Canis lupus familiaris: one gene and its partner. The protein of the gene in region 2 interacts with the protein of the main gene of each other region in a pairwise test. Links are inferred from orthologs where the notes say so. Each region holds a gene or a part of one and is shown on either strand. Other genes may lie near its edges.

What was found. The genes of interacting proteins can lie anywhere in the genome.
Region 1: the proteins of GNB5 (region 2) and GNG3 interact in a two-hybrid assay, tested with the Homo sapiens proteins (2 studies listed by BioGRID, with this or other methods). The link is inferred for Canis lupus familiaris from reciprocal best matches to the Homo sapiens genes GNB5 and GNG3.

The regions. Positions count from the first base shown.
Region 1 is NC_049239.1:54,477,449-54,481,206, reverse strand, and holds GNG3 (guanine nucleotide-binding protein G(I)/G(S)/G(O) subunit gamma-3), read left to right. Parts: upstream 1-1,471; 5' UTR 1,472-1,937; intron 1,938-2,337; 5' UTR 2,338-2,338; coding exon 2,339-2,437; intron 2,438-2,703; coding exon 2,704-2,832; 3' UTR 2,833-3,205; downstream 3,206-3,758. Other genes in the region: BSCL2 (seipin), read right to left, coding at 373-617. UniProt on the Homo sapiens protein: Guanine nucleotide-binding proteins (G proteins) are involved as a modulator or transducer in various transmembrane signaling systems.
Region 2 is NC_049251.1:18,132,313-18,135,958, forward strand, and holds part of GNB5 (guanine nucleotide-binding protein subunit beta-5), read right to left. Parts: intron 2,218-3,646; coding exon 2,169-2,217; intron 215-2,168; coding exon 118-214; intron 1-117. UniProt on the Homo sapiens protein: Enhances GTPase-activating protein (GAP) activity of regulator of G protein signaling (RGS) proteins, such as RGS7 and RGS9, hence involved in the termination of the signaling initiated by the G protein coupled receptors (GPCRs) by accelerating the GTP hydrolysis on the G-alpha subunits, thereby promoting their inactivation.

The DNA of each region.
Region 1 (3,758 bases), on a different chromosome or scaffold from region 2:
AGAACAGTCTTTGTTTCGGGTGGCCTCTCCCCAGGTGATTGTGTTCCTCCAGCAAACATCACTTCCCTTTCCCTTCCCTCTGCTGTCTTAGTTCCCAGTGCCAAAGTCGGCTGAACTTGTCTGTTGGACACGTGATTCTGGGACAGGCCACCTTGATCTCGCAGCAAAGCATCCCACTCGGGGGATGAGCACCTTAGGAGGCCGCCGAGTCCGCACCGCGAGGTGGTGCCCCGAGGGCACGCGGGACTTGCCTGGGGTCGTGCGGCCGCACTCAGAGACACCCCTCCCGAGTGATCTCCTCGCCGCCCAGAGCCCCCACCGGCCGCGCCAACAGCGCTGGCCGCTCGCCGGCCGCCGCCCATCCGCACTCACCAGTACGCAGGCAGCGGGAGCAACGGCAAAGGCACTTCCGCCTCCCGTGAAGCCCCGCCCCTTCCGCCGGCCGCCCCGGGGGCGCGGGGCGGGGGGCGGGGCCACTCCCGGGGCGGGGCCTGTCGGGCCGCGGGCTTCCCTCCTCCGCCAGGCGCGTGCGGTCTCTCCCCGCGGCCCGGTTCGCAGACCCCAGGGGACAGGCGAGGCCAAGACGTGACCCAGGGTGTGCTGTGAGTCAGCAGCATCCCCCTGGGCGCGCCCTCGAGGCCGCAATCCCCGCCCTCGGCCCACACCTTCACCCGCAAAGGGGAAGGGGGCGGGTATCCAGCTGGCGCTGATTTTTATCGCCCACAGCCCCTGGGACCTGTAGGCGTCCAAGGCAGGGCCCCTATCACAAGAGTGACAGCATTTCAGCTCCGTGTTTTGTCTCCAGCGCTTAGGATGTGATCCACCACCTCTGACCCTAACTGGACTCTCCCTCAGAATCCCCGCAGCGCGTTATGGACACTAGACCTTGGCAGAGGGTACCTTCTATTGTGTATATGACTCTTCATGCCATATAAGAGCCCTCAGAGCGTCAGGTTAACATTATGTACATCTTTGCATTTCAACAGCACCAAGCACAACGCTGCATGCCTGGGGGGTAATCTCTCAAACCGATACCCACCCTCCAAAACCCACCCAAGGAAGCCCATCTGTTTCAACGCCCAGTGACTTTCCCCGAAACCACAGTGCCCCCTACCTCTTCTTTGTCCGATTCTTTGATCTGGTATCTGCACGGCTCTTTTCCCCCAGCTTCTCCTCCTCCTTGTTCTTTAGGCATCTTCCTGATGCACCTTGTTGCCCCTTGATCTTCCACTCGAGCCACTTGTGGCTAGAACACGAAGTGCTTGGTGATCTAGAAGCTGATACCTGTAACTCATCACATTTTCCTAGATACAGAGAATGGAGGGTCCCTGGGAAAGAAAAGAAGATTCAGGTACTACATGCTATGTCAGAGGAGGGAGGAGGGAAAAGGGGGGCGACTGCCCAGCTGATGTCAGATTTTCAAATGAGCAGAGTCCCCCGCAGCCAGTACAGACTCCACTGCAGGCGATGTCACAGGTCCAGACCACCCCATTTAAGGGGGGAGTCAGCCTGGCCTTCAACTACTTCCAGCTCCTTCAGCTCCTTCCTAGCCCAGACTCAGAATGCTTGCAATGGGGGAAGGGCAGCTAGTGAGACAGTTCACAGTAGGGGGTGTGTACAGGGGCCGCAGTCAGCAGCCAGGCTCCCCCACTGGCCAGGCAGTTGGTATGTTCCAGGATCTGAGCAGCTTCTTCTAGCATCCTTCATCCTTCAGGTACCAGCGTCTGGGCAGTGCTTGAGCTGCAGGAACTGGGCCCAGCCCTCAACAGAACTCTGACCTGACCTCCCCAGTGGACTTCTCTGTATTAGCTCCTTCTGCTGCAGCAGCAAATACTTTCAACTGCAACTCCCTGCAGGTGGGGCACCCACCCATCTCGGGGCAGGCTTTGTGCACCCCACTGACTACTCCCCAGGGCTACCACTGCCGGTGCCTGCAGGTGAGTAGGGAGTATCCTGTTTTTCTCCCCCTGGGTCTCAAGGAGGCAGGTGGGGGTCATGTGTCCTCATCAGGGTGGGGCTCTTTCTGGTTGAGGCTTTCAGGGCTGGGAACACACAAGGCTGGAAAGGCTGAAAAGCCTTAAATCATTATGTCTAATGATCTGTGGGCCCAGGCCGTGTGTGAGTATGGAGGGCATTTCATCCCACTCTCTCCATTTCCTTAGCCCAGGAAGACAGGGATGGGAAAGGCCACTGGAAGATGAAGATAAGAGGAACAAAATATTGGGGCAGCCTTGTAAAGACTGATGAAAAATGAACATGGAGGGGGGTCTTCAGATGAGATTATGCAGCTCCTCACCTCCCACATCATACTCTGAGCTATTCCTTTCTTTTCTCTAGGATGAAAGGGGAGACCCCCGTGAACAGCACTATGAGTATTGGGCAAGCCCGCAAGATGGTGGAACAGCTTAAGATTGAAGCCAGCTTGTGCCGGATAAAGGTGGGCGGATCCTGGGTCCCCTCAGTTGGCCCAGTTGTGCTCTAGGTCCCCAAATCTCAGGTTAAGAGACGATTTCTTTCCTTGAGTCCCTGCGATCAGGGGAGGAGTCTCTGGCTCTGTGGGACAGTCCCTCTGAGGGGGATGAGGGAAGAGAATACTGTCCTAAGAAGCCCTAGAGATGGCAAAAAGATAACCCATTTGGGGAGGCAGGCTGCAGGCCCTCTCAGGGGATCTGGCTAACAACTCCCCTCCTGGCTGTGCCCCAGGTGTCCAAGGCAGCAGCCGACTTGATGACTTACTGTGATGCCCACGCCTGCGAGGATCCCCTCATCACCCCGGTGCCCACTTCGGAGAACCCCTTCCGGGAGAAGAAGTTCTTCTGTGCCCTCCTCTGAGTTGCCCTGTCCCTCCACACAAGCTCCTCACCTGTCCCTCTCCTGGGCCCTCCCTTAGGTTAGTAACTGTCGTGAGTCCCTGAGGGTCCCCGCATCCCACCCCTAGCCCTGTCCGACCCTGTGAGGTTGTCCGAAGCACAAGGCTCTCCATCACCGATCTGTCGACCCCGAGAACCCCCTGACCCAGGGACCCCTTAGTTCTATCCCCAGAAGGGCCGCCAGACTCTGCCAGCGTCCTGCCTGCAGGCTTCTCTGTGACCCGCTCAGACAATGGAGAGAGGCGCGGGCCGGGTGCTGGCTCCCAGTCTCACCTGGAGCTATGAGAAGGGTAAAGCCATTTGAAGAATAAAGGTATCCAGAGTCTCAGAAGACAGCTCCTGTGGTAGCCTTCTTGGGGAGAGGATCATCAGTCTGTGGATCTGGGAATGTGTGCGGCAGGTGAAAGACTTGCCATTCCCCGGGAAAAGGGCGGTCAAACCAGGCTAGACATCGCCTAGGATGGGAGATCGCCGGGACTGGGGAGACGGCGGGCGCGAGAGAGCCTCAAGTGGGAGAATTAAGTCACGACACCCAGAAGCTGCGGAGAGCAGTCACACACACACACGCACACGCGCGCGCGAGAGCACTGAACACAAGTGAAAATGAAAACAGACCGAACAGGATGGATTTAGGGAGGGCAGTCGCAGACCGCAGGAACTCAGGAACCCAGGGGAGGAGCTCGGCTCTGGTTCCTGCGAAGGGGCCGGTTTTACTTCTAAGATGGCAGCGCCCACAGCGTGCCCCTTTCCAAGATGGCCGTCGCCATAGGACGCGCGCCAATATGGCAGCCGCGCGTCACTGGGTTTCACCGTACAGGGCGTCCCAGCTAGCCCCATACGTAAAATGGCGGCCCCAGGCAGCCAGAGTCAGTGCGGTCCCATCTGTGC
Region 2 (3,646 bases):
GATTGCTTAACACATTGGCTCCCAGGAAGTTCAGCTGAGGGAAAGCTTGATGGAAAGCTGGGTTTCATTTATATCCTGTCTTACAGCCCCAGGGAAGCTTCTAAAAGAAAATCTTACCACTGAGGGAGAAGTCCACACTGGATGCTCCAAATATGATACTCTCTTTGGAATAGATGGCAACCTCTCTGTCTGCCCGGAGGTCATAGAGACGACACTGGGGTGACAGAGAAGATAAAGGAACACTTAATTCTGGCTCCAGGTTGGTGAAGAGAGGGCCACAGGGCTAGAGGCAGGTGCCTATGGCTTGTGTAGTTGGAGGATGAGGGAAATACCTCTGGTTTCTTCCTCTAGTATTTTCTTCCAATTCCTATTAATTGGCATGGATCAGTGGAGATTCAAAGAAACAGCAAATACAGAAGATTTGGGAGAGGAATCAAAACCGAAAATGAAACCTCTTTTTTTCTGATAAAGGATACATACTCATAGTAGAAAATTCAGAAAAACTCAGAAATGCCTAAATAAAAATCACCCCAAATCCTAGAGGTATTTACTTACACATCGAGGCTATTTCCTTCAGTCTACTTCCATTTCATGCATATATTTAAATGGAGTGGGTATTTCCTTATCACTTCTATTAACATCAGGTTATGAGCATTTTTCTCATTAATCTTCAAAAAGACATGACTAACATGGTTGCTGAATATTTCTTATGTGGATATATCAGAATCTGTTTAACCATACCCTGTTAAGAGTTTTAATTATGTCTAATTTTTCTCCTTTATAACTAAAATTTGGGGGACCATTCTTAGGTAAATATCTTTATGCATATCTCTGATGTTTTCCTTAGAATAGTTAAGGAATAGAATCCGCAGAATAAAACTGTTTCAAGAAATAGTATGGCCAGATCAAAGAATAGGGATGTTTTGAAAGCTCTTGGATCATATGGCAAAACTGTTTTCCAAAAGAATGGTACCAATGGGCCTAACTCCAAGCTCTTTGACCACATCACCTCCACAATGCAGCATTTCACTGCTAATCTAAATGAGCAGTTATCACTTAAACTTGCATTTATTGGAATATGGGTGGTCTGATGGTCTGAAAATGTTTTTCAGGTGTTGATTTGCCATTTTGGATCTCCCATGTTGTAAAAAGTCTACATTTTATCCCCTTTTTAAAAATTGGGGTGTTTATCTTATTGATTATCCAACTCCATTCATATCTAAAGGATTTCAATTTGGTCATATAGATGGCAAAAATTTTTCATAGATGTATGCCTTTATATTTTGTTATACATTTTTTGACATATGGAAGTTTTACATTTTCATTTTCATTTTTAAAAAAGATCTTATTAATTCAGTTTATTTGTCTTCCCTCCGTCAAATCCTGAGCCAACCACTTTCCCCAGGCTGCCTATAGAGGTACAGCAAAAGGAACATGTAGGGCAGATGAGATATGGGAGAAATAAGTTCCAAAAGTATTAATTATACTGTATGCGGTCTGTAACCATGGTTTCCACTGAGTACACCCCTCATTCCTGAGATTTGGCAGCTCGGGGATAAGAAAGTGATCATCTGAACACTTAACAGTTAGAAAAACCCAAGTGTCTAAAAATTGACTAGTTAAGTACATAACAGCATTTCCATAACATGAAATACTATTCAATCACTAAGAAAATACAATGTAGATTGGCTACATTGGCATAGGAAAATGTTCACAATCAATTGCTAAGTGACAAAAGCAAATTATAAAGCATTTTGTTTAAAAATTAAAAAGACACAAAGGAATTCACCCAACTGTGATTTTCTTGGGTTGGGAGGTTAAGGTATTTTAATCCCCTACCATTTGCCTAAATGAATTCACTTTATTACTATAATAAAAAAAAACATTAATTTTGAAAAATAAAATTAGATCATTGCATATCTCTTTTTTTTAAAAAAATTATTTATTTTAGAGAGAGAGAGAGAGAGCACACATGCAAAAGAGTACAAATGGGGGAAGAGGGAGTAGCAGGCACAGTGCTGAGCCAGGAGCCTCAAACCCAGGATCCCAGGATCCCAGGATCCAGGATCATGACCTGAGCCGAAGGCAGATGCTTAACTGATTGAGCCACCCAGGCACCCCTGCTTCTCTCTTGGAATAGGATAAGCTGTCATAACATAGAAACATACCGTAGCATCATCTGATCCTGAAGCAAAGGCATCTCCACTTGGGTAGTACCTGCAGAGAGAAAGTTTGGATAGAAAGAGCCTTATTTAGAGTGGTGATTCTCAATCCTGGGTGCCTATCAGAATCATCTGGAAATCACCTGGGAAGGCTTGTCCCATGCCAGGCCTGTGGAATCTGAATCTGAATCTCTACTTCTAAGGACATAAGGACCACTCTTCATAGAGGCCAGAAAGGGAGGCTCATCTGGCTGGCCCACTGGCCTCTAGTTTTCTCCCCTTTTAAGTAGGGGCCTTGCAGAGCGTTGGTGAGGAGTAACTGAGATGATGTGTGTATCTGCACCAGGCACTGAACACAGAGCAGGCGGTCTGTAACCATGGTTTCCACTGAGTACACCCCTCATTCCTGAGATTTGGCAGCTCGGGGATAAGAAAGTGATCATCTGAACAGATACTGGAACCTTATGTACAGAGCCTCTGCACTGACCACTGCCTGCCTCCACGTGATACCTCTGGTGAGGGACTTTACCTTGCCCAGCCTCAGTTTCTGCATTTGAAAAGCAAGGATGCTCATGCATTTTCCCTGTTGTAAAGACCGAATCATATAGGCAAAGACCTAGGCATGGTGCCAAATGAAAAGCATTCAACAACTAATGCTTATTACTGTTCATTGTCTTCTCGGGAAGACATTGTCTTCTCCTTTTCCTGGGGAAAGGGAAGTCAACACTGAGACCTAGTGGATGTTAGAGGAAGTGGGGTCAGGGTAGGGGCAACAGCATGAGTGAGAGAATGGTGCATTTTAAAACTATATTCTGTGAATATATAGGGGTTTAGTTTATTTTTGTGGCTTTATATTCTGTCCTGCATTGTACCGCCTTCATTTATTATCTGTATTAATTTCCTTTGATTTTCTAGGTAATTACTGCACATTTGCCAAAAGTAATAGTCTTTTCCCTTTTTCTCTATCCTACAATTGAGGGCAAGGACCTAGAAAGTTCTTACTAACATAACATTTCTGTTGTTAATGTAAATAAGAACTGTTCTCTTGTTCTTCCTTTTAAGGGGAACAGGTCTAGTGTCTTTCCCATTAAGTATAATGAAACTTCTTAGATGATTCTATTTCAAATACTATCTTGACAGTGCCATCTTCCAAATTTACATGTCGAGTCCTTGCTTCTCTCTTGGATCCAGTGCATACATCCTGCTACCTACTCAACATCTCCACTTGGTTGTATGATAAGCATCTTTTTTTTTTTTTGTATGATAAGCATCTTAAATGTAACTGTCCCAAAGCAGAGCTCCAGAACCATGTGCAATAACCACATCCTACCTGTACTTCTTCCAGTCTTCCCTGCCCTAGTAAATGGATCACTGCTTACTGCCCCTTATGAATGGTTTGGGTTCCCAAGCTCAAGGTCCTTCTCTTGTAATGCAAACTCTGGCCTGTGCAGGTGTCATTTGGTCCTCTCTATTTCACCCTGTGG